3 linked regions of the Notamacropus eugenii genome follow. The protein of the gene in region 3 binds, or shares a complex with, the protein of the main gene of each other region. Links are inferred from orthologs where the notes say so. Each region holds a gene or a part of one and is shown on either strand. Other genes may lie near its edges.

Evidence for each region.
Region 1: NUP58 (region 3) and NUP93 share a complex: the UniProt entries of both Homo sapiens proteins name them as parts of the p62 complex. The link is inferred for Notamacropus eugenii from reciprocal best matches to the Homo sapiens genes NUP58 and NUP93.
Region 2: the proteins of NUP58 (region 3) and NUP54 are in contact, whole or in part, in a crystal structure (PDB 4JO7), measured with the Homo sapiens proteins. The link is inferred for Notamacropus eugenii from reciprocal best matches to the Homo sapiens genes NUP58 and NUP54. Residues at the interface, in NP_054808.1 of Homo sapiens: Pro342, Tyr345, Phe346, Leu349, Val350, Phe353, Gln356, Leu357, Tyr360, Gln363, Ile364, Leu367, Leu371, Gln374, Ser378, Ile392, Tyr393, Phe396, Leu399, Ala400, Leu403, Ile406, His407, Val410, Lys414, Tyr417, Tyr420, Arg421; in NP_059122.2 of Homo sapiens: Tyr453, Leu459, Glu462, His466, Leu467, Gln469, Gln470, Gln471, Gly473, Leu474, His476, Leu477, Ile478, Ile480, Ile481, Asp484, Leu485, Ile488, Lys489, Leu490, Val491.

What each region holds. Positions count from the first base shown.
Region 1 is NC_092872.1:474,257,452-474,265,621, reverse strand, and holds the start of NUP93 (nuclear pore complex protein Nup93), read right to left. Parts: upstream 3,172-8,170; 5' UTR 3,068-3,171; intron 1-3,067. UniProt on the Homo sapiens protein: Plays a role in the nuclear pore complex (NPC) assembly and/or maintenance. May anchor nucleoporins, but not NUP153 and TPR, to the NPC. During renal development, regulates podocyte migration and proliferation through SMAD4 signaling.
Region 2 is NC_092878.1:151,162,712-151,170,066, reverse strand, and holds the start of NUP54 (nucleoporin p54), read right to left. Parts: upstream 3,133-7,355; 5' UTR 3,036-3,132; coding exon 2,969-3,035; intron 2,585-2,968; coding exon 2,423-2,584; intron 1,976-2,422; exon of another isoform or gene 1,721-1,975; coding exon of another isoform or gene 1,642-1,720; intron 756-1,641; coding exon 672-755; intron 559-671; coding exon 427-558; intron 1-426. UniProt on the Homo sapiens protein: Component of the nuclear pore complex, a complex required for the trafficking across the nuclear membrane.
Region 3 is NC_092876.1:192,733,997-192,741,319, reverse strand, and holds the start of NUP58 (nucleoporin p58/p45), read right to left. Parts: upstream 3,436-7,323; 5' UTR 3,196-3,435; coding exon 3,086-3,195; intron 1-3,085. UniProt on the Homo sapiens protein: Component of the nuclear pore complex, a complex required for the trafficking across the nuclear membrane.

The sequences.
Region 1 (8,170 bases), on a different chromosome or scaffold from region 3:
TTTTCTACATCGTGGTCCCTAATACCATAAGGCATAAATATAAATCTACATTTTGTAGATATAGGAGCAGAGGAAAAGAAGCAATAATACAAAAGGTGTGTGAACAATATTGAAATCTGATTGCATCCAGAGGACCTCCACCTCATACTCTTCTCTACCCTACCTGTCCAATAAGATGCTACATCTCGTCAATCGCCTTGGCTGACTAAGCCGACCAAAACCGTTCCGCTGAGGCTCATTTAGAATGTGGTCAGGACACTTACCCTTATATTGTTATTACCAGCTTCAGAGGCTGCTGTAATGATAAAATGAGATAATGTGCATCAAGCACTTTGTAAATTTCAACATGTTTGCTATTTATTATCTGGTATGTGAAGTGTGACAAACTGACAAAGTGTGACAAACACAAAAGTCCAAGTGTCTGTTAGACACTTAAAAAATCAGAGGAAGCCTTAAGATAGGGAGCCACCTTTCATTCTGAACACAACCAATCAAGAAGTATTTATTAAATGCCTACTGTATGCCAGGCATTGAAGATATAAAAACAAAAATGAGACAAGCTCTGTCCTCAAGGAGTTTACATACTATTATATTCATTGTATTGGATGATGTAAACAAATATGAACTGCTTTTCCTGAAAAGACCAATGTACAAAAAAACCCCACTAACTATACTTTACATGAGAATATCAAGCTTTTTTCTTTCTTTCTTAAAAAGTGAAATATTTTTTAAAATTAAATTATTTTGTTTTCAGTGTTCTACAATCACTTCCATATGTCTTAGATTTTTCTTCCCCTCCCTCCCTGAGATGGCATACAATTTTATATAGGTTCTACACATACATTCCTATTAAATACATTTTCACCTTAGTCATATTGCAGAGGGGAATTAAAATGAATGGGAGAAATCATAAAACAAAACAAAACATAATATAAAATGGTCTGCTTCATTCTGCGATCGAATTCCATAGTTCTTTCCCTGGATGTGGAAGGCATTTTGCCTCAAGAGTCCATTGGGAATTTTTTAATTCCTTGCATTGCAATGAAGTACTAAGTCTACCAGAAAAATTCCTCGCACACTGTGGTTGTTGCTGTGTACAAAGTTCTCCTGGTTCTGCTCCTTTCACTCAGCATCAGTTCATATAAGTCTTTCCAGGCCTCTCTGAAGTCTTCCTGTTCATCATTTCTTATACCACAATAGGGGAACATCAAGCTTTAAATCAATCACATTATCTGCCTTCACAAAAAACAGTATTCTAGATAGAACACATTACTACCTCCTATTTTACAGATAAGGCTCAAAGATGATTTAACACAGAGCAGCCTCAAGGTCACATATGGCCTTCTAGGTCCCTGCGTGCAGCCTTTTGACTGAGTTCAAGTTTTCTAGAACAAATCCTTTTAGTAAGGGGATTTGTTCTGTGAAGTTTGGATTTAAAGTGCCTCAACCTAAGGACCTAGAAAGTCACATATGGCTTGAAGTTGCATGTTCCCCACCCCTGACTAGACCCCTCTTACCTTTCCAATCTGCTTATACTTTACTCCATGGGAGACACTGGCATAGGACCACCGAGCAAAGCATGCCCAAATCAAAGAAGATACTATATTCTATGAGCAAGGAATTTCAGAAGCTCAAAAAAAAATGTGAAATGCACAAATTTAGGGATATCTCCACTCCAAACGTTCATATGGACTGGAATATTTGTGTCTAACCTGTGGTAGCTCCCAAGCTCCTACTGGTCTAATCAGCCACAGTCCCACACACTGTGTCTTGACCCTCACGTAGTGATATCACTTTGGTCCACTGAAAGCAGAAAGGACAGCTATATCTACCTCCCTACACAAACTTTTTGATCCATTGCCATTAACTCCTGGCTATTCCATGAAAAAGTCACTGCAGCTCTTGGCTGCAGGCATTTTCTCTGACTGCCGTCCATGCTTGAAACACTTTCCCTCCTCCAGTCCAACTACTGACCTCCCTGATTTCAATTTTCATATAAAATCCCACCTTCTGCAGAAAGCCTACCCTTAATTCTAGTGCCTTCCCTCTATTATCTATTTATCCTGTATATAGTTTGCTTTGCATTTATATGCTGTCACCTTCATTGGATTATAAACTCTTCAGGGGCAGGAACTGTCTTTTGCCTCTTTCTGCATCCCTAAGTCTTAGTCCAGTGCCTTTTGGCGAGTAGACACTTAATGAATGCTTACTGATTGATTGGAACATAGCAAGCACTTAATAAATGCTTCTTCACCGACTAGACAGGAGATCATGGGCAAATCATTTCCCTCCACTAGGCCTGCTTCTCCACCTATAAAATAAAAGGGTTGGGGAAGGAGTACGGCAGTGGAAAGGGCATTAGATTTGTAATTAGAGGAACTGCCTCTTGCTTGCTGTGTGATCAGGAACCTCGGCCTCAGACTTTTCACTTGTACAATGAGGTGCTTAGCCTAGACCTCCCGGGTCTCTTTCAGCCCTAGGACCCCATGCCTAGACTGCTCTAAAGCAGCTTCCAGACTTAATTTCTGTGCCTCCTGGGAAGCACAGTTCATACTTCAGACAGCAGCTGCCTGGCCTTTGCACCCAGGGGTCTGGAGGGAGGAGAGAAGGGATGGCAGAGTCGCTGGAAACCGTGAACCCCGCTGTGCTCCAGAGCCTTTCTCTGTAGCGGAGAGAAGGCAAAGCAGCCCTCAGGGAGCACAGGGAGCAGGGGCTTCCAGGCAGCCGGACTCCGTAATAGAATGGGGTGGCGGATGGGAGGGCAGAGGCCTGGCTGACGAGATGAAGCGTACTGGGGCGGCGGGAGCTCTTCTGGGGGGCTCTGCTGGGCACCCAGCCAAGCCTAGGGTGGGGACGACGCTGAACGCGACCCCACCCAGGCACGGGCGGCCTGCAGAGGGGGGATTGTGGGGCGTGACCCCGGGCTGGACGGGGAGGTCTGAGCGCGGGCGGGCGCAGGGCCGGGGGCGGTGGAACACCTCAGGAGCGCTATTTCCGGTGGGGCGCAAGGCCGGCACGGCCCTGGGGCAGCCCGGGATGGAGGGCGGGCCGCCGGGGGCTTCCTTACCTGGCCCTGGAGCCGCGGCCGCTGCCGCCGTAGCCGGCTCGGAGAAGGAGCAGGAACGAGGCGGGAGGGAGCCGCCGCTTCCTGATTGGCGGAAGGAGCCTTACCCAGCAGCCTCCGCGCGGCACTCTCCGCCAAATTAACTTTATTGGTAGAGGGCGCTCAGGGACAAGAACACGCGCGGTGGGGAGCCGCGCCTGGCGTGCCAAGCCTGGGCTAACGGGCCACGAGCCGCAGGTCCTCACGTGAAGACCGAGCGACCAGTTGGTTGTGGAGGGAATTCCTCTTCAGGGACGGGTTGGCCCAGATAGCCCCTCCTAACTCTTGGGAATCGGCGTCCCGGGCTTTATGCCTGTCGATACAACCCAAGATTCCATTGAGCTTTCTGGCTGTCATGCCCTGCTGTTGACCTGAGCTTGCAGTCCACCCGGGCCCCTAGATCTTCTACTATTGCCCAGCCAAGCCTCCACATCTTGTATCTGTGTTAATGAACAATAATGATAATAATGTCCCCTAACAGCCAGCCTTTACATGGCATTTCAAGGTTTGCAAAGAGCCTTGACAGCCTTACCTCCTTGTATCTTTATGATAGTTCAGTAAACATTTATTCAGGGCCTACCATGTGCCCCGTGCTGGGCTAAGCTCTGGAGGTGCAAAAAGAGGCTAGTGACGGTGCCTGCTGTCCTGAGCTTCCCTGGGATGGGGCAGCTGACATGCAGGCAGATGCAGGGCAAGCAGCCTGGCAGATAGGTAAGAAATGATTAACAGGAGGCAGGCGCTGGAATTAAGTGAATAATCCTAGTCTACCAGGAAGGCACCGTGGTTATCCCCACTTACAGAATTTACAGGAAATTGAGACAGAAAGGCATGAAGTGGCTGGCTCAGGGTCCTGCAGTGAAGGTCTGGGGAGGAGCTTCAGCTCAGTCTTCCTGACCACAAGTTCAGCTCCCTGCGTGCTGCACCTGGTGAAGTGCATTTAAAACAGCTTTGAATGTCTGGTGTTTTACATTAATTGTTACAGTGTTTCAAATGATTAGACTCAGCCTACCATTCCGGGCTATCAAGACCCATCCTTTTGGATCCTGTCGTCAAATGTGTTAGCCATCCCTCCTAAGTTTGTGTCCTCTGCAAATATGATACACATGGGATTTGTGGTTATTATGGCAACTAGGTAAAGCAGTGGATAGAGCCCCGGGACTGGAGTCATGAACACCTGTGTTCAAATTTGGACTCAGTCACTTATTAGCCTGTGATCCTAGGCAAATCATTTAACCTCTTTCTGCCTGTTTTTTCAACTGCAAGATTGGAAGCACCTACCTTCCAAAGTTCTTATGAAGATCAAATTAAATAATATTTGTAAAACTCTTAGCACAGTACCTGGCACATAATAGGCTCTTCATATATTCATGTTTCCTTTCTTTCCTATGCATTTTTTCAAGTAATTGATAGAAATGTTGAGGAATACAGACAGTCTTTGGCAGTCCATTAGAAAGCTCTCTCTAAGTAAATATCAACCCATTAATGATTATTTTTTGAGTTCAGTCATTCACCTACTTCTAAATCCCTAACATAATTAGCATCTAGCCCAAGGGTGGGGAACCTGCAGCCTCAAGGCCACATGTGGCCTTCTAGGTCCTCTGGTGCAGCTTTTTGACTGAATCCAAGTTTTACAGAACAAACCATTTTATTAAGGAGATTTGTTCTATGAAGTTTGGATTCAGTCTAAAGGTCTCACTTGTGTACCTCGAAGGCCACATGAGGCCTTAAGGCTGCAGGTTCCCCAGCCTTGATCTAGCCCTTATCTTTCTTTTACAAAGAGAAGGTGGGAGTGTTTGTTAAAAATTTTGTGAAATTTAGATAAACTATGTCTATAGCATTTCCCTGAATTTAGAGGAACAGAGCAGAGCCTGTACCAACAAGGCTTTTCCTCACTATGAGTGAGATAATCCAAATAGAAACCTCTGTTTGTCTTAAAGTAAGGACACACCTATAATGAATGAATAAAAAAAATTAAAGATTGGCTTTAGGGAAAAATATGGTGATAATAAAGTTAATATAATAATATATTATTACTACATATTATATATAATATAATGTACAATGTAGAATGCAGAATGTGTTCGTCTTTCCTTGCTGAAGAAGACCATGCCATCAGAGAAAAAATGACATGACTTGCCCTTGACTTTGTTTTGAGTGAGGGAGGGCTGTGCAGGTCACCAGCCTCACTTCTCCAGAGCCATCTGAATCCAGTGACCAGATTTTCATCAGGATGACTGGAGATGACTCAGGATGAGGCAATTGGGGTTAAGTGACTTGCCCAAAGTCACACAGCTGGTGAGTGTCAAGTGTCTGAGGTGAGATTTGAATTCAGATCTTCCTAATTCCTGCACTGGTGCTCCATCCACTGTACCACCTAGCTACCCCCATATATATTTATATATATGTATAATTATTATATTATATTATAAATAATATAACAATAATATAAAATAATAATAATAATAAAGATCCAGGCTATGAATGACACTTGTTTCTTGGTGTCTCATTTAGTTAAGAAAACAGTTAAACATCCTTAATATCCCAGGGCCTTTTAGCTATATAACCCATGAAATAAAATCAGGGTTTCTAGGACCCCTGGTGGGGCTTCTTAACACACTCTTCCTATTACCAGGCAAATTAGGTTCAATCTTGAGGAATTTCTCTCTATTAAAAATTAATATGCCTTTGGCTTGTCTCACCAAGAGGTCTCTCTACGGACATCTGAAATTGGGTCTCCACTTGCTATGGTCAGATCTTCCTTTCCCAGCACCTACTTTCACCCTCCCCACCCACAAAGAACCTTTTGATAAACATATGAATACGAATAGTTTCTTACAAAACGTGGAAAACAGAAACAGGATTCATTTCGGAGTCTGGATAGGAAGGAAACATGTCTATTTTTCCTCTTTGAAAAGATTGGTTTGTAACCACAGAAGCAAAACTCACAACATCATAGGGGAAATTCTAGTTGTATGGGAAGAGCTGGGAACCTTGGGAATGCAACAATTGTGTTTCTTCTTGTGGCCTACTTGGAATCTTGGCTGTGTTCCTCATTTCCTCTGGCATCCATGCTTCCAACATACACCTATCTCAGACGCCAGTCCTGCCCTTGCCTTTCTGTACAGCACAGATTGTTGTGGGGCCCATGCTGTTTCTGGCTCAACTGTTCTTTGTCACTAGGTTGAGTAATATATCTCCTTGTCCAATCAGTTCTATGATACTAATCTTCCCTGTATCCCCTAAAGTCCCCTTCCAGACTTTCTTCTTTCCAGCAAACCTTGTAACCCAGGCATTATGGGAAATATCCATTTATATCTACATATACCTCCCATACATATCCAGAAAAAAGGCTAGTCTTCTTCCAAAGTTTTGTATAAAAAAGGTATTTAACTTAGTTTCATTTCTGTTTCTTTCCTACTCTCTTCTGCCCTCAAACTTGACTAGATGTTATGACAATGAGCTTTGCAAAATATAAAATACCAAATAATTGTAAAATATGGCAATCTTTGTTTTTTGTAATCTGTAGTCCAGAATCCATACCTCTGGGCTCAAAGAGACTGAGATCAATCTTGGAAGCTTTTCAGTAATTTTTTGATTCATGTGCCCACCCAGGGAAACCTTCAGACCATGTGGATCCAATTCATTTCTACCTCACTTTTAGGGACACTCAATTCTCCTCCAAGGACGCAGGCTAGCCAGGTATAGAACACAGAACAAGTTAATTGCCACAATGACAAATGCATTTAGAATTCATACTCAAGCCAGTCTAGAAAAGTTTGTTCTATGCAGAGTTCTACTTTCCCACCTTCCCCACAAATTCTATAACATTATTGTGATATAGAGCCCCAACAAAATAATTTAGGTAGCTAATAGTCACACACACACACACACACACACACATACACACACACACACACATACAAACACACACGCACCATCCTCCACCTGGCACCTTACAGTACTTATGACTCACAATACCAGTGGAAGGAAAGGTCCAGATTTGCTTATTCCTGGTGTAGCTCTCGCAATTTGGTTCTGGTCTCTCCTCCAGTTCTTGATTCTGAGGTTCCTGCTTAACCCTTGAACTCTTCAATATTCACTCTATTACTGCTACCTCCAGCTCCACACGGTAATGCTCAGTGTCACTCCCATCTCTTAGTCCTATTAAACACTTCAAGGTCGGTTGCCATTCTGCTTCCACCTGTCATCCACTCCTCTCTATCTCTTCCCAGGAAAGTGTTAAAGCTCTCCCAGAATGAGATTCTTGAGTCCTTTGGGTTATAGGAGTACTTTCCATTTTTTTCTTTTAGTAAGACATACAATCTTTATCAAGCTTACATATGAAAGGTCCCCTCAGGTGACTGTCAAGACCTATTGACTCTTGTATCTCAATCATTTGTCTCTGCTTACATTCTAATATGGAAAGATGAGGCCTGCGTTTCCTCTGAACACTATCTTATCAGGGTTCATAGGAGGAGTCTAATTAAACAGAAAGTCTTGAAATGATTCTGTTATGTCCTGATTATCTTAAAAGAAAAATGGAAAAGTAGGGGGAAATGATACTAGGATGAGGAAAGGAAAGGAAGATTAGGTGGAAATTATCTCACATATTTGGTCTACACAAACAAGGAAGAAAGCAGCTGGCACTGAACCTCACTCTCACTTAAACTAGTCAAAGAAAGGAAGAAATATGTACAGTTGAGAATAGAAATACATTTCACCCAGCAGAGAAATAGGAAGAAAAGGGGAGAAGGGAGAAGGAGGAATTAGAAAGAGGGTAGATTAAGGGAGGGATTAGTTCAAAGCAAAGCAAACTCTAAGAATATCCAAAAATATTTATAATTCTTTTATTTGAGGTGGTGAAAAGTGAAAGTCTAAGGGAGTATCTATCAATTGGGGAATGTGCGATGGAACATTATTGTCCTGTAAGATATGATGAAGAGGATGATTTCTAAGAAATCTGAGGAGATTTATATGAACTGATGTAGAGTGAAAAGTACCAAAAGAAAAATTCCTACCACGACAACAATATTATAAAGACAAACAACTTTGAAAGACTTGGGAACT
Region 2 (7,355 bases), on a different chromosome or scaffold from region 3:
GGGGGTCATGAGCACAATCGCTGGCCTGGGCAGGGAGAGGGGTCACTTCTTTGTCAGAGAACAGGGAAAAGAGGCAGAAGATGCCATCCAGGGGTTCTGAGGGGAAGAAAATGACCCTTTGGCAAAGGAAGAGGCAAGGTCCTCAGCAGAGAGCGTGGAAGGGGGGTGGGGGTGGGGGAGAGAGAAGCAAAGGTTCAGAAACTTGCAGAGTGAGAAGGGGAATCAACTAAGGAGCAATAAAAGGGTTAACTATGAGGACGGCCCAGTTAAAGGGGGATAACACAAATATGTTGAGTCCATATGACAGAGGTCATACAATGAGGAAAAGTATGAAATGAGCAAACAGTTCAGGATTAAATTCTGATTTCTCAGAACACAGTACCTGACACGAATTTTTAAGGAGTAAAACAACCTTCTCATACTTACTATTTTGAGTCTGCTGGGTACTGAAGGTTCCAAATCCTAGCCCGGTTCCCAAACCAGTACTGGTTCCTGCAGTTGTGCCAAAACCAGTAGAACCAAATCCAAAACCTTTGTTCTGAGTAGCACCAAAGAGTCCTTTGAAGAAAAAATCGGGTTTACAAAAGTGTCACCAAAGACGCAATTGCCCAACTAGCCCGAATCAAGGCTGTTTAGTTCTATCGTTAACTCTGTCCAGTCTGGGCTCTTACCACTTGTGCCGGTGTTAGTAGGAGCAGAAAAGCTGAATGCAGAACCTGCCGTGGTGGTGGTCGTCCCAAATCCTCCAAACGTGCCTAGTGATCACAAGAAAGAACATGGAGACACTATGGTTAGGAGTGTGCTCTTGCTGTTAAATAGCGGCCCTATTCTTAGCCTGGGGTCTGTAAGCTATTTTATAAAAATGTTCTGACATCAACATTCCAGTACATTGTTTTATAAAAGAATCTCATGTATATTGTGTGTACATATTATAGACATGCATGTATGAACATTAAAAAGATCTTTTAAAAAAAATCCTGACAGTATTTTAGATGCTGACAATTTAACAAACATCTCATATGTGGCCAAATTCTCACTTGTTTTGGTTCCAACACTTAAAATTCAGCAAGATACACTAGGCTGAAGACCTCCATTTCAATATGCAAAGTTCAAGAATATACTTTGAAATTTCGAGTAAAAAAGTATTTCTAAAGGTATAATTAAAGGGCTCAGTAGGGCACAATTTATCATCAATGGAGGATTTACTTCACGTACTTACCACAGCATAAAAGAAGCTGAACAGTTAATTTAGTTTATATTTGTCAATGGTAAAAAAAAAAATAGCGAAGTATTGTACAAATATGATAGTGATGTAAGTGATTTGATAACACATGGACTGTGATCAATAAAAATGGAAATGCCAGTGTTTTTAGATAAACAATGAATCATTTTATAAAATAGACCATAATTAACACTGTCATTTATTTTTGCCGAGTTGTAGCTCTATTCAGAAGCACAAATCACACACAAAACTCCATTTTCCTCTACTGTTAACATGTAAAACGGTATTACAGCATTAGACTGTAAGCCCCCTGAGAGCAGCCTGTTCATCTTTGAATCCCCAGCACCCGAACAGTGCCTTCAACCAGTACACATGCTTAACCAATACTTGTTGGAAGGAATTAAAAAGAACGCAAGTACTTTGTAATTTAATAAAACAGCACAGGAAGAATACAACGCATGACTTCTGTGTCCCAGGAAATTTTCTGTCATTTTTCATGTTAAATTTTTTGCTCAAAGTTAGGCACAGGATGGCCTGAACACGTGGGGCTCGTACAACGTGGGATTCGCAAAATAATTTAAAGAATTATCCAAAAATTAGCTGTAAGCAGCAAACACATTTCTGAAGGCAACTTCTTAAATTGGCAGAGGGCACGAAGCTGCCGATCACGCCAGGTAAGAGCACGGAACACTCAGTTTATGTCCAAGCAGCCGAACGCCTGGCAGGTACACACACACCTGTGCGCGCCCTTCTGCCAGTTAGACCCACAACTGCCCATCACGCGGCCCGGCGGCTGCTCTCAGAACCCGGTGTCTGGGTCTAACCCAATCCCTCCTGACGGGCTCAGACACGGAGGGAAGGGGCTGTTTTGTGCGATTTGCGGCTTCTGAGGACAGCACGCGGATGACAAGGGAGGATGGATGGACGGACGGACGGACGATGACACATGGCCGCAGGAGTCCAAGAATGGGGGGGCGGGCTCCGGGGGCTGGCTCGATGACAAGCCCACAGCGGGGACGGGGGTTCGGGGTTCCCCCCGGGACCACCGGGCCCAATCCGGCGGGGAGAGGGGCGGCCTGCAGGCACCCCTGCTGGGTGGGGGGAGGGGCGGCCCGAGGGCACCCCTGCTGGGCGGGGGGAGGGGCAGCGCATTTTTGGAGTCCTGCTAGGCCATCCACGAGGTGACGGGGGGCTCTCTACCTGCGCTGGCCAGAGGGTTACCAAAACTGAAGGGGGCCGCGGCGCTGGTGGAAACGCCGAAATTCCCAATATTAAAGTTCACCGCAGGATTGGCAGCTAAGCCGAAACCCCCAAAATTAAACCCACTGTTGGTGGAGCTGGCGGCGTCCAGCCCACCAAATCCTGACGGGCGGGGAAGGGGAGGGGGAGAGGGAGAGAGAGAGAGAGAGAGAAAAGAAAGCACGTAAGCATCGCAGAGTCCGGTCCGACGGGCAGCTCCCCGAGGGCAGGCCCCGGCTCCCCACTGCAGAGCACCGCGGGGGGGCGGGGCGCCGGCCCAAACAAGCGGGAGTCCCCCCTCCCCTTCTCCCCCAGGACGTCGGGCGCCGGGCGGGGGGGACCCTGAATCTCTTCGCTGAAGACCCCCGCCCGGCTGGCCCTCGAGGGTCCCCTCCCCGCCCTCAGCTGGGGGCGCACCCACGCGGGGCCGGGCAGGCCTGGGCGGCCCTCGGGAGGGGTCCCCGGCGGATCTCCCCAGCCCGCCCCGCCCCCGCTCTGCACACTCACCCGCGGGAGCGGCGGGGGTGGCGGCCGTGGCCGTGCCGCCCGCGGGAGCCCCGAAGTTGAAGGCCATGGCGCCGCCGGGGCCGCGGCGGCTCTCACGGGGCGCTCGGTGCAACCAGTGGAAGGGTCCGGCCGAGCAGCGGCAACCCGAAGCCTGAGGGTTCCCGGAGCGGCAGGTGGCGGCGGGGGGGGCGGGGCCTCGGAGGAAGCCCGCGTCGCGTCTGTGACGTCACCGAGAAGTATTACGCGAGGCGCGGCGCGGGGAGAGTGCGCATGCGCACGGTGAATCCTTCAGCCGGCCCGGGCAAATCCTGGAAACTGGTACCTTCCTCCTCCCGCCCCCCCAGGGTCTCCGCGGGGATCTTTGGGGGTTTGTCCCTGCCTTTTGTTCTCCCGTCCTCCTTCCCGAAGGTTTCCTTCTCTGCCCTCGTGCGAACAAAGAATGCGAAAGAGACAAAGAGGAAAGAGGGGGAAAGCGCGCCCCAGAGCCCTCCCCTCCCCCGCGGATTGGGATCAGCTTGTGATTGGGTCTTAGAGACCTTTATGGAAGCTCTTCCCCTCCCCATGCAGGGGCGGGGCTCATCGGACGCCCGATTTCGGCGGTGGAGAGGGGGCGGGGCGCTCCCGGTGCCGGGGTGCTGGGGTGCCCCCTGCTTGGGCCCCGGCTCGAAACCAACGCCCGTTCTCTCCCCCATCCAGCTCGCCGTGCCTGGGTCATCGGGTCACGTGCCTGACCTGGCGCCTACGTCTGTGTGTCCTAGGCTCGGACGTGGGCCTGCTCCCTTACGTCATCTCGTCTAACCGGGCACTGATGGGGGCAGTCCTGACCGTTTGTGGGCGGTTCAGGTCTAAAGCCCCGCCTCCATGGAGCCCGCCCTTCGCTCGTTCCCGATGAACTCTGGGTAAAGTAGCTGCGCAGGAGATACCAGAAGTGCCTGTTCCTTTAAGAAGTAGCCCCTCCTTAGCCACGCCCTAAGCCCGCCCTGGTCCCAGGGCTGGGCACGTGCTTCCCTGTAGAGCATCCTAGAGAAACTTTACCTGGACCCCTAGAGTTGCAGGTTTGCTGAGATCTTTCCCAAGCGGTTGTTTGCATTTGTTCCTGGAGGCAGTAGGGAGGTGACATGATCAGACCTGAATTTTAGGAAAATCTCTCCAGGGGCTCGAGGATGGACTGAGGTGGGCAGAAGCAGCCAGCAGCTATTGCTGCTGCTGGATAACTCTCCTTTCATGAATTCGTTTACTGGAGAATTCTGAGAGCTGTGATGGTTTTCTGGGTCCCCAGCATGTGGTGGGAAGGAGCCAGGTTCGTGAGTGGCTATCTCCCCCCATAAGAAGAATCAGGGAAGCAACTTTTGATCAGAACCCATTATGCCCCTAGGCCAGAAATATTTTCCAGGTATCAGATGAATATCATTTTAATCTATATGTTCAAAGACGTTTCTTTCTGAAAGAGCATTCAGCCTTGGCTTCACTCCTGAGGACTGCTTACCTCTTCTGTCTTTCCCTGCCCCTTGTCCCCCAGCTAGAGTGCTGGTGGTAGAGATATAGCCTTAGCTCTTCTCCAAGAGACAGGCTAGACCTCAGATCGTATCACATAAATATTACCCTTTTAAAAACCCTCTATACTAGGTGCCTCCACTTTTTCTCTCACTTCTTAATGCACTGCAATATAGCTTCCATTCTCTTCATGCAACTGAAAAGTTAACAAAGATCTTTAACAAGGGCTCTTGACAAAGTTAACAAAGATGTCTTAACTGGCACAAATTTCCACTTTACAGACCCTACTAGAGCGTTTGACAGTTCTCCTTGGAGCCCTTTCCTTTCTAGGTTTTCCTGACCCTTTTCTTTCCTGGTTCTCATCCTACCTTTCTGACCACTGCTCAGTTTTGTTTACTGGTTTTTTATTTGTATCATCCCCCCCTAAATTATTGGAGGCAGCTAGGTGGCACAGCGGATAGAACACTGGTCCTGGAAGATCTGAGATCAAATCTAGCATCTGACACTTACTAGCTGTGTGACCCTGGGCAAGTCATTTAATCTCTGTTTGCCTCAGTTTCCTCAACTGTAAAATGGGGACAATAGCATTAATAACTGTACCTCACAGGGTTGTTGTGAGGATCTAATGAGATAATATTTCTGTAGTACTATAGATACCCAGCCTGGTACATAGTAGGTATAATAAATACTTATTACCTTTCCCTTCCCTGTAATATCTGTACTCTAAGCTCTAAGAGTACAAGGACTGTCTTTTGCCTAAACTCTGTATATATCTGAGACTGCCTACCATAGTTCTCAGCAAACAGGAGATAATTAGAAATTGTTTAGCGAATGAATGAAGTGATGCTACATTATGAGGTTGCGAGGATTTAAAAAACAATCTATGATTTTGGTTGTCAGATCCAATGAGTAGGCCACAGATTTTTCCCAAATGTTTTCACACTGAAAACGCCCAAACAAACTTTTGGACACAAGGAAACCCAAGGAAGAACAAATACGTTCCCCATTCTTTCCTTTCAACTTTTCTCTGATTCCTTTGGAGTTTCTGGGATTAACTACCATTAGAACAAATAGTCAAAACCTAGTCATGGGTGCCATCAAAAACTTCTAGATTCAGTTTTGTAAAAATGATAACTTTATTAGTGAAACATTTTATTTTTAAAGTAGAAACAAGCATTCTTAGAATCACATTAAATGAGTCCATTGTAAAAACTAAATGTGTAGTATTCTGAATATCTTCTTCAATAGCAAGAAAGGAAGAGTAGTTAAAAAGTGGGGGGAGAGTTATGACAGGCCAAAGTTGAAGATCCCCTTCTGTTATAAAGAGCAAATCTCAATAACCAGCTTAATTTTTAAAATCAACCATATTTTCAAATAAAAGCCCCAGCAGTGGCTAACTATTTTATTTGGCTTTTTAATGGTTTTTCCTTTCAAGGACAAGAAAAGTCAAGTGGCAGCAACCAACCACAGCAGTCAGTCAGTCTATAAAATGTAGTAAGCACGTATTATGTGTCAGAAACTGTGCTAAGCTCTGGAGCTGCAAAGCCAAGAGATTTGGGTTCTATTGACTAGTCCTCCAGCTACAAAATGAGTTGAATAACACTGGCCATTTAATTCCCTGTGATGTTGACAAGACTAAGGTTTGTAAAGACTTTGACCTATGATTTGTTTCATTGATATAGGTAACCCCCTCTACCAGTGCAAACCATTCTGCAGTTTAGAGGCCTGCTTGGGACCCTGAGCGATTAAGGACCTTCCCAGGGTGATATAGCCATTATGTGTTAGAGGCAGAAGGGAAACACAGTTTTTGCTGATGCCAGGGTTTAAGGCCACTCTCTCATGAGTTACCAATGAGTAGCATGTATTCTTAATTGGCTTCAATTGTTTAGGGGTCAACCACAGATTGTTCTGTAAAGGGAGATGCTCTCAATGTATTTGCTTCATTTGATTTCAGGTCTTGTAAAAAAAAACAAAACAAAAAAACAATGAGATGTCTCATAAATGAGCAAAGAAATTGAAGATGGCGTCTCTTCCACCTCCAAATTAACAGGGGCACATCACAAAATGTGACCTCATTACATTTGTAAATGCAAAATCTTGGTTGTAAAATCTTAAAGAGGTAAATGATGAGTAATGGAGAGAGAGCCTAGTGAGAGACCCATCTAAGCCAAGTCATCCAGAAGGCATTTGAAGATGAAACTAATTGGGCTTGGCTGGATCTTGCAGGTTTCCTGTAAGTCTGTTTTCTTCTCTACTGATTCTACCTCTTTTAAGAGATGATACTGCTCACCACCTCCCAGAGTGAGCTGTGTCTGAGGAGGACACATTGAGCTGAACAAAATGACACCTTTCAAAGGTTCTCCATCAAAAGGCCTAAAGTTCTTGAAAGCTGTAACAGAGATGATCTTGTTTAATAGTTTTCTGAATATTAATATCAAGAAAAGAATGAAAGAGGGATATATACTCTTATCAGATGTGTCAGTTCTGAACCTGGGCAATCTCAAAGAAGACAGATTCCCTGTAGAGACAGAGGTTCTCTAAATACCCTTGACATGGTGTTGATTACAAACCTGCAAAGGAGTGACCCGAGTCACTTTAGGATGGTCCAACTTTACTATGCACAGAATTAAAAACAAGTGGTTGAAAAATAGCTACAGTCAGAGGGTCAGCTCATAAAGTATATATTTCTCAGACGAAAGTTGGAGATGGATCTTGTATTCGTCCTTCATTTTTGAAGAAGACCATGACATCAGAAAAATGATGACATGATTTGCACTTGACTTTGTTTTGAGTGAGGGAGGTCTGTTCAGGTCACCTCACTTTCCCCTCCTGAGCCATCTGGCTCCAGTGACCAACTATTCATCAGGATGACTGGAGATGACAGTCCCCTAAA
Region 3 (7,323 bases):
TTGATAAATATCAGTGTTCATCCAATCTATATATTCTTTCTTATTTTATATACAATAGCCCTCTCTGTCAAAACCTTATTAGGATTCAGAATTCTAACTTTAGGGACCATCACTTTGATTTCAGTTGACTATGGTCCTTTTCTGGCTCTCTATCTGAAGCAACCAGAACTCACTGAACAAAATTATTAAATAGATGGCATCACAGATGTAATTGGAGAGGAAGACCTGAGTTTATATGCTGCCTCTGGCTGTGTGACCTTTGATAAATCATTTGGCCTCTCAATGCTCTAGGCCAGTGTTTCTTAAACTGTGGTCCCATATCATGCGCTTTAAGAAGCACTGAAGGGGTCTTGAGTGGAAAAAATTTAAGAAGCCCTGCTCCAGGTAACTCTCTCAAGGCCGTAAGTTGCAAAGAAAATGTTGACCTACATTGGTACGTATTTCTTCATCTGACAGTTCTTTATACCAGTGAAATCATAGGTCTAGTTGTGGTCTCAATATAGGTGCTAAACCAATAATTTACATTTTGCATTCTAAAGACAATGTAAATAATTCCAGTCTAAACTTGGGTAAAATTCTAGTATTTATTCAACCAAAATCTATTCAGTGAATATCTATGGGCAAATCATTATGGAGAAAACAAAAGGGGATAATTCAAGAACACGTATTATGCACTTGCTCTGCAGAATATAGTAGAAAAGGACACCTAGGCATTCAGAGTTCTATTTGAAGTCAGGAAAACTCATCTTCCCAAGCTGAAATCTGGCCTCATACACTTATTAGCTGTGTGGCCCTGGGAAAGTTACCTAACCTTGTTGGCCTCAGTTTCTTCATTTGTAAAATGAACTAGAGAAGTAAATGGCAAACCACTCCAGTATCTTTGCCAAGAAAACTCCATATAGGGTCACAAAGAGTCAGATCTGACTGAAAACAAGGAGCAACAAAATGTAGAATAGTAATGGCAGTAAATGCTGGAGATACAAGGAAGAAAAAAAATGAATCTATGCCCTCTTAAGATTCTGATCGTGGAGGATAACTCTAAAACAGGTTAGAATGTAATAAAGAGACCAAATGGATACAGCACTAGCCTAAGCATGTGGAAACCTGTTCTGTACTTGCTGGTTATGTGACCTCTTTGGGAGAGTCACTTAACCTCAATGAGCCTGTTTTTTTATGGAGAGGGATGAGAATAGACTAGAAGATCACTAAGCTCCCTTCCTGCTCTAGTATTCTATGAAATCTCTATACATAGTAAAGATCAGAGAGAAAGGAAGCTGGAAATGAAGGAGCTACTTCTAGCTGGTAGATCAGATAAGACCTCATGGCTTCATGGAAGAAGTTGTATTAAGTCTCTGGCCCCAAGGAACTAACTATAATCTCACAGGGCATATTAAGACACCTAAACAAATAAATGTAATATAGTAGATCAACTGGTTTAGACAAGGCCTTACAACATATAAATTGATCCTGAATCATGTCTAAAATGTAATATAAAGCAGAATATAAGTGATATACAAGAAGCATATACAAGGTATGGCATGGGATCTGGTGGTGGGGAAGCAGGAAATCATGGATTGGACAGGGAGTGAAAGATGACTCCAAAGTCTAAGGTTTGAGCTAAGTGTGAATACAGTGGTGACATATTATAAACAACATCAAAAAACAAAGAAGGATCACAAATACCAAATGCTGTAAAATTAACATTATGCCATGCAAAATATGAATGATAAATATTAAACAATTTATTCATGGGAGGCAGCTAGAGTGGAGCAGTGAATAAAGCAGTGAGCCTGGAGTCAGGAACACCTGAGTTCAAATCTAGCCCTGAGGATTCTGTGCAAGTTATTTAGCCTCTATTTGCCCGTAAAATGCAAATGATAATAATAACAGCCCTACCTCCCAAGGTTGTTGTGGGGATCAAATGAAGCAATAATTGTAAGGTCCTTAGTATAGTGACTGGCCCAAAGTAGATGCTGCATAAATGATAACTATTGTCATTATTATAATACCTTTTTATTTTTTGTCTTACACCTAATATAGGGGTAGGGACTGGACCTATGATTTCATTGGTATAGGAAACTCAGACCCTACCCTTCAATTTAAACTCCTGGAGAGCTGCCTAGGGCACTGAGATGTTAAGTGACTTGTCAAAACGCCAGTCTCTGTCAGCAGTAGGTCTTGGGACTCAAGTATTCAAAATTCCAAAGCTTGAAGTTCTCTATACACATCTATCAAATTAGAAAGATCACCGTACAAATAAGAAGTCTAAGCTCCTGGGCCCTGGAAGTCATCGATGAAACCCACTAAGAGAATAGTTTCATTAATATTAAGAATTTCAGAATCTGATATAGAACCAAAGAGTCTGGATTCAAATCCCTATCCAATCTGCTAGTGAAGAGGCTTTTCACCTGGGATCTGAGGACAGATTTCAAAGTGTAAGTGAACTTGGAGAGTGGAAAAAATTCATTCCTGTGTATTTTACTTTACACATGTAAAACCATTCTGAGAAGAAATCGACAGCTTTCCCCAGTCTGCCCAAGGGCACAAAAAAGGCTACGCATCCTGGCCCTAGCCCCTGGAACCACCAAGAACCTGTCTCTGGGGACCACTTTTTGCCCTTTCTCGGTATCCCCGGCGCTGCCCACGATGAAGAAGCGCTCTCTCCGGGCCGGGCACCGGGCTAAGTGTTACCCAAACGCTGGGCTCACAAAGAAAAGCAAACACAAAGAGCCGCCGTTCTAATCCGGCGCTCAGTCCCCTCGCCCCCATCCCTAGGCCTCCACGCCCGCAAGCCCTCGGCAGCCCGCAGAGGTCTCACACTGCGCCGCCAGAGCCCAAGGTGAAGACCGCCGAGGAAGAAGAGCGAAGCTCCCCTGGGTGATGCGGAACCCTGCGGGGACAGTGCGGCTCCTCCGAGGGGGGAGGGGAAGGAGGGGCGGCGCCGGCTCCGCCCTGGGAGGAGGGGCGAGAAAGGAGCCGGACGTCAGGCCGAGGAGGTGGGGAGGCCGGCCCGCGAGACGCTCCCGCGTTCGAGCTGGGCCGGGGCCGAGGGGCGCGCGGCTGCGGCGGGGAGGAGATAGCTTACCTGGAGGTGCCCGTCCCGAAGGAGAACCCTCCTCCTGTGGTCCCGGTGCCCCCCGTGGCGGTACCCACGGAGCCCAGCGTCCCCGTCCCGAAGGAGAAGCCCGTGGACATGGTTGAAGCCGGCCAGCCGCGGCCTGGGCCTCGTGTCTCGTCTCAGCGCCGAAGGGGAACCCGCAGCATCCCCCCTACAGTGGCCGGCCGGGCTAGCGGACGGGCGGGAACTTCGGTCCAAACCAGGGGGCGGGAAAGAGGAGCGAGCGAGCGGCCGCAACCCCTGGGCCCGCGCACGCCGCCGCGCGGGAGCCGGCCGAGCCACCGCGGTGCACCATGGGATGGAAGCCGGGCGACGTCAGCAGCGCGCGTCTTAAAGGGACAGGGGCCGGTCCGGAGCCACCCTTCCGATGAGTGCCCTGTCCTTCGCCTTAATGTGATTGATTTCGTGGGCACATGTGGCATCGGGGCCCCAGGTAGAATGTTGGACCACAGGTTTAGAGACAAGAAGGGACTTTATGTGTCATTGACTCAAACCTCATTTTACGGATGAGGAAGCTGTGACCCAGAGCGGTCCAATCAATCAATCATCGATCAAGATTAAGCGCCCACTGTGCCAGACGTTGTGTTACGGCCAGGGATAGTAAAAGAGGCAAAGTCATAAATTAGTGGGTGTTGCCCACTTCAGTCCCTATTAAAACAAAAAAAGGAGGGGACAAAGTGAGTCAAAATGGCTGTAAGTGAACTTTTGCACAATTACCAAGATTTTGAGGAGCGAGGTAATGGTAATTTAAAAACTCGCTAGGATAGAAAGCCTGGCCTCCGTTATGGATCTGGCCCTTCTGAATCCTCCTTTTGACAGTTCTAAAATGAAAGGTGCTCCATAACCCTTAATCCAAAGCCTAGGAATGGGAAATACCAGAAGGGAGTGGCTAGAATTAAGAAGGGCTGGGGAGGACTTCCAGCAAAAGAGGAGCTTTTAATGGCCAAGGAGGCCATTGGGGGAGGGGAGGAAGGAGAGAGTTCCATGCCTGGGGGACGGCCAGAAAAAAAATTCTCATTGATTAAGCACTTGCTAAGTGCAGGGAATACAAAGAAAGGCAAAACCAATTAAATTCTCTGCTTTATTGGTGCTCACAGTCTAATAGAGGAGACAACCATATACATATATATATATATATATATATATATATATATATATATATATATATATACACACACATATAAATGTATATATGCATGCATACATACACATACATGTATGTGTATGTATGTATATATACACATACATATACGTTATATATACAACTATATATGCAACAGATACATACAAGATAAATTGGAGATAATTAAGAGAGGAAAGCCATTCTGAAGAAAATGGGATTTCAGCCGGGACTAGAAAAAAGCTTATAAGTTAATAGAGGACATCAAGTAGAAGAGCATTACTTGCCTGGAGGACAGCCATTGAAAAGGGAGCTTCTTGCTCCTCAAGTGGCCTTAACATCCATGCAGATAACTCCCTGTTCTAGCCCTAGGCAGTCTCTGGATCTCTAGTCCCACATCACCAACTACCTGTTAGACATTTTGAACTTGGATAGGCATCTTAAATGTAGGCATCTTGTAGGCATCTTAAATTCTAGTGCCAAATAGTAGTCATTCTCTTTTCCCCCAAACCAACCTTTCTTCCAAACTTCACTGTTTCTGTTGAAATGCTTCTCACTCTCCCACATCCCATATATCCATTGAGTTGCTTGATCTTTCCATTTCTACCTTTATAACATTTTTCTCACATCTAACCTTTTCTCTCTACTCTTAATCACCACCTTAGTCTAGGCCCTGATAATGTTTAATATAAAATTTTGGAATAATCTCTTTGTTCTCTCTGAAGCAAACTCAGAGAATGCCTCTTCCTATGTCAGCAAAAGCCAGCCAAAGCTGACTCTGCATTCCTTGGAGACCTTTAACCTATGACATATCTTGAATAATGGGTCTTTCCTTTGTATCTTATTATCTATAGACACATACTATGTTATGGCATATTAATGGTAAAGAAAATATAGACATCTTAGGTCATAATTTCTATTGAACATTGTTTGCCCCTTCCTGTGTCAGTTATCTGGGGTGGGATTTCCTTCCTTGTCACCAAGACATATGTTTACCCAGCTTGGAATCTCAACATTTGATTGACATTACTTTGTTAATTGTCTTGTCTTACTAAATTTATGATTTGTTCAACTAGGAGAGTTCCTTTCTCACGGCAAAATGTATATAAGCCAGAAGATTTCTGCACTGGGTAGCCAGAACATTTCTGGCTCCATAATGCATTATGTAACTGTTTTCTTTAATAGGGAATTGATTAATTAATTAATTAAATCATAAAATGTATGCATTTAGCCTGCTGCCTTTCTTTAACCAAGTTTTCAGGTCAACAGCCCTCATCACTACTCAGCTAAACAATTGCAAAAACTGCCTTATTGCTATCCCTGCTTCAAGTCTTTACCCATCCAGTTCCTCTTTCCCTCAGATGCCACTGATCATCCTTAAGTGCAGAGCTAATGATGTAATTCCCTTACTCAATAAACTTAAGTGGTCCCTATTGTAAGTAGGATAAAATATAAACTCTTCTGTTTGGTTTTTTAAAGTCCTTCACAACCTGACCCCAACCTACCAGTCCACTCTGATTATACATTACTTCCTTTGTTGTACTATCCCATCCAGCCTCAGGGCTATCTCCAGTCATTTTGATTATATCTTGCCACTGGCTAGATGGCTCCAGAGGAGAAAGTGAGACTGGTGACCTTGCACAGCCCTTAAATCCAGTTCATTTGCATGTCCTAGCATCATCTTCCTGATGTCATGGTTCTCTTTGAGAATGAAGGATAAACAGTGACTTGTGAGTAGTCCAAGCTGCTTCACTGGGGATCCAACTGGCCGGTTCCAGTTGGACAATGCAACTCCTTCCTTCTTTCATCCTTTCCCTTGTTAGCAGGATTTTACTGAGTCATTTTTTAATCTGAGAATGATGCAACTGCAGACTAGAGACAAAGTGCAAGTAATCAGGTAGCCATTTAATTAATTAGTTTCATTATGAGGAGTAGATTTGCAAATCAGGAATTCTCCTGATCAGAATTCCACCTTGCTGAAGTGATGACAGAAATTCTATACATAAAACACCAATGGGATGGAAGAGTAGAAGAGTAGAAGGTGGATTACAGTCATTCCCAGGGCCAGAGTAGTTTCCCAGGATAAACCCACAATTTTGGAGTCCTATAAGAGCAACACTGCCCAAGTCTTGGGAGTGTAATGGTAAGGGAATTTGAAAATCTTCCCTGCCCCTTAATAGGCCCATGTGACCTGCTTTGAGCTTTGGCCCAGTCCACAATTTGAGTCTCATAGAGCTGATGGTGGAAGGAGCTTGCTGAATGGGTGGAGCAAGAAGGATACAGCAGGAAGAGAGGAAGGTGGAGCTGAGAGGCAACAACAGTCAGAGCAGAGCAGCTAGCCTAGGTGGGAGAGGGGCATTTTGCCTAAGGGGCCTTGTTTGTGGGGAGGCCTGACCAAGGGAATGCTTGGGGATGGCTGTGCTCTCTATTGGTAATGTGTATAAAGTTCATTGTTACTATGGTGGAATTGGCTTTCTGGTATCTGAATAAATTATCTTTGTTTCATCTTTGAGGAAGAGAGTTTATATTTTGCGAATTTACCCTCAAAATACACCTGCATATGCATATCCTGCTGTAGGTATCTCACCCACGCTACAGGGGGTCATTACTTAGTGGGTCACAGGTTCTACAGGCTTGGTCTGAAGGCAGAAGGATGCCAGTGATTGAGTCTTGTCAAGGTTTGATTTATGAGTTCAAACTGCATTGTGAATGACCCACAAGCTAGAAAAGGTAATTCTGCAAAATCAAATCTATTGGTGTATTCATTACACATATATTGATTATTATAAAAACCAGAATTCCCTCCACACCTTGCTTTCCCTCTACTCTTCCCTAAACCTTTCCCTTCCTTTTTCCCTTCCCTCTGTCCACTTAGGGTTATCATATCCTTATATGCTAGTGCTTTGCCCAAAGTATGTAAATTTTGATGGTTGAAACCTAGCAAGATATCTTGGGATTTAAGGGCTAGAATTCTTGCTTAAGGACAATGCCTTAAACGTAATTCACTCTGGCTCTCATTGATTGTCAAGGAATAGGTCCCAGGCCAAGCCCCACTTGGTTATTGTTTGGACCCTGATTGTCTCAG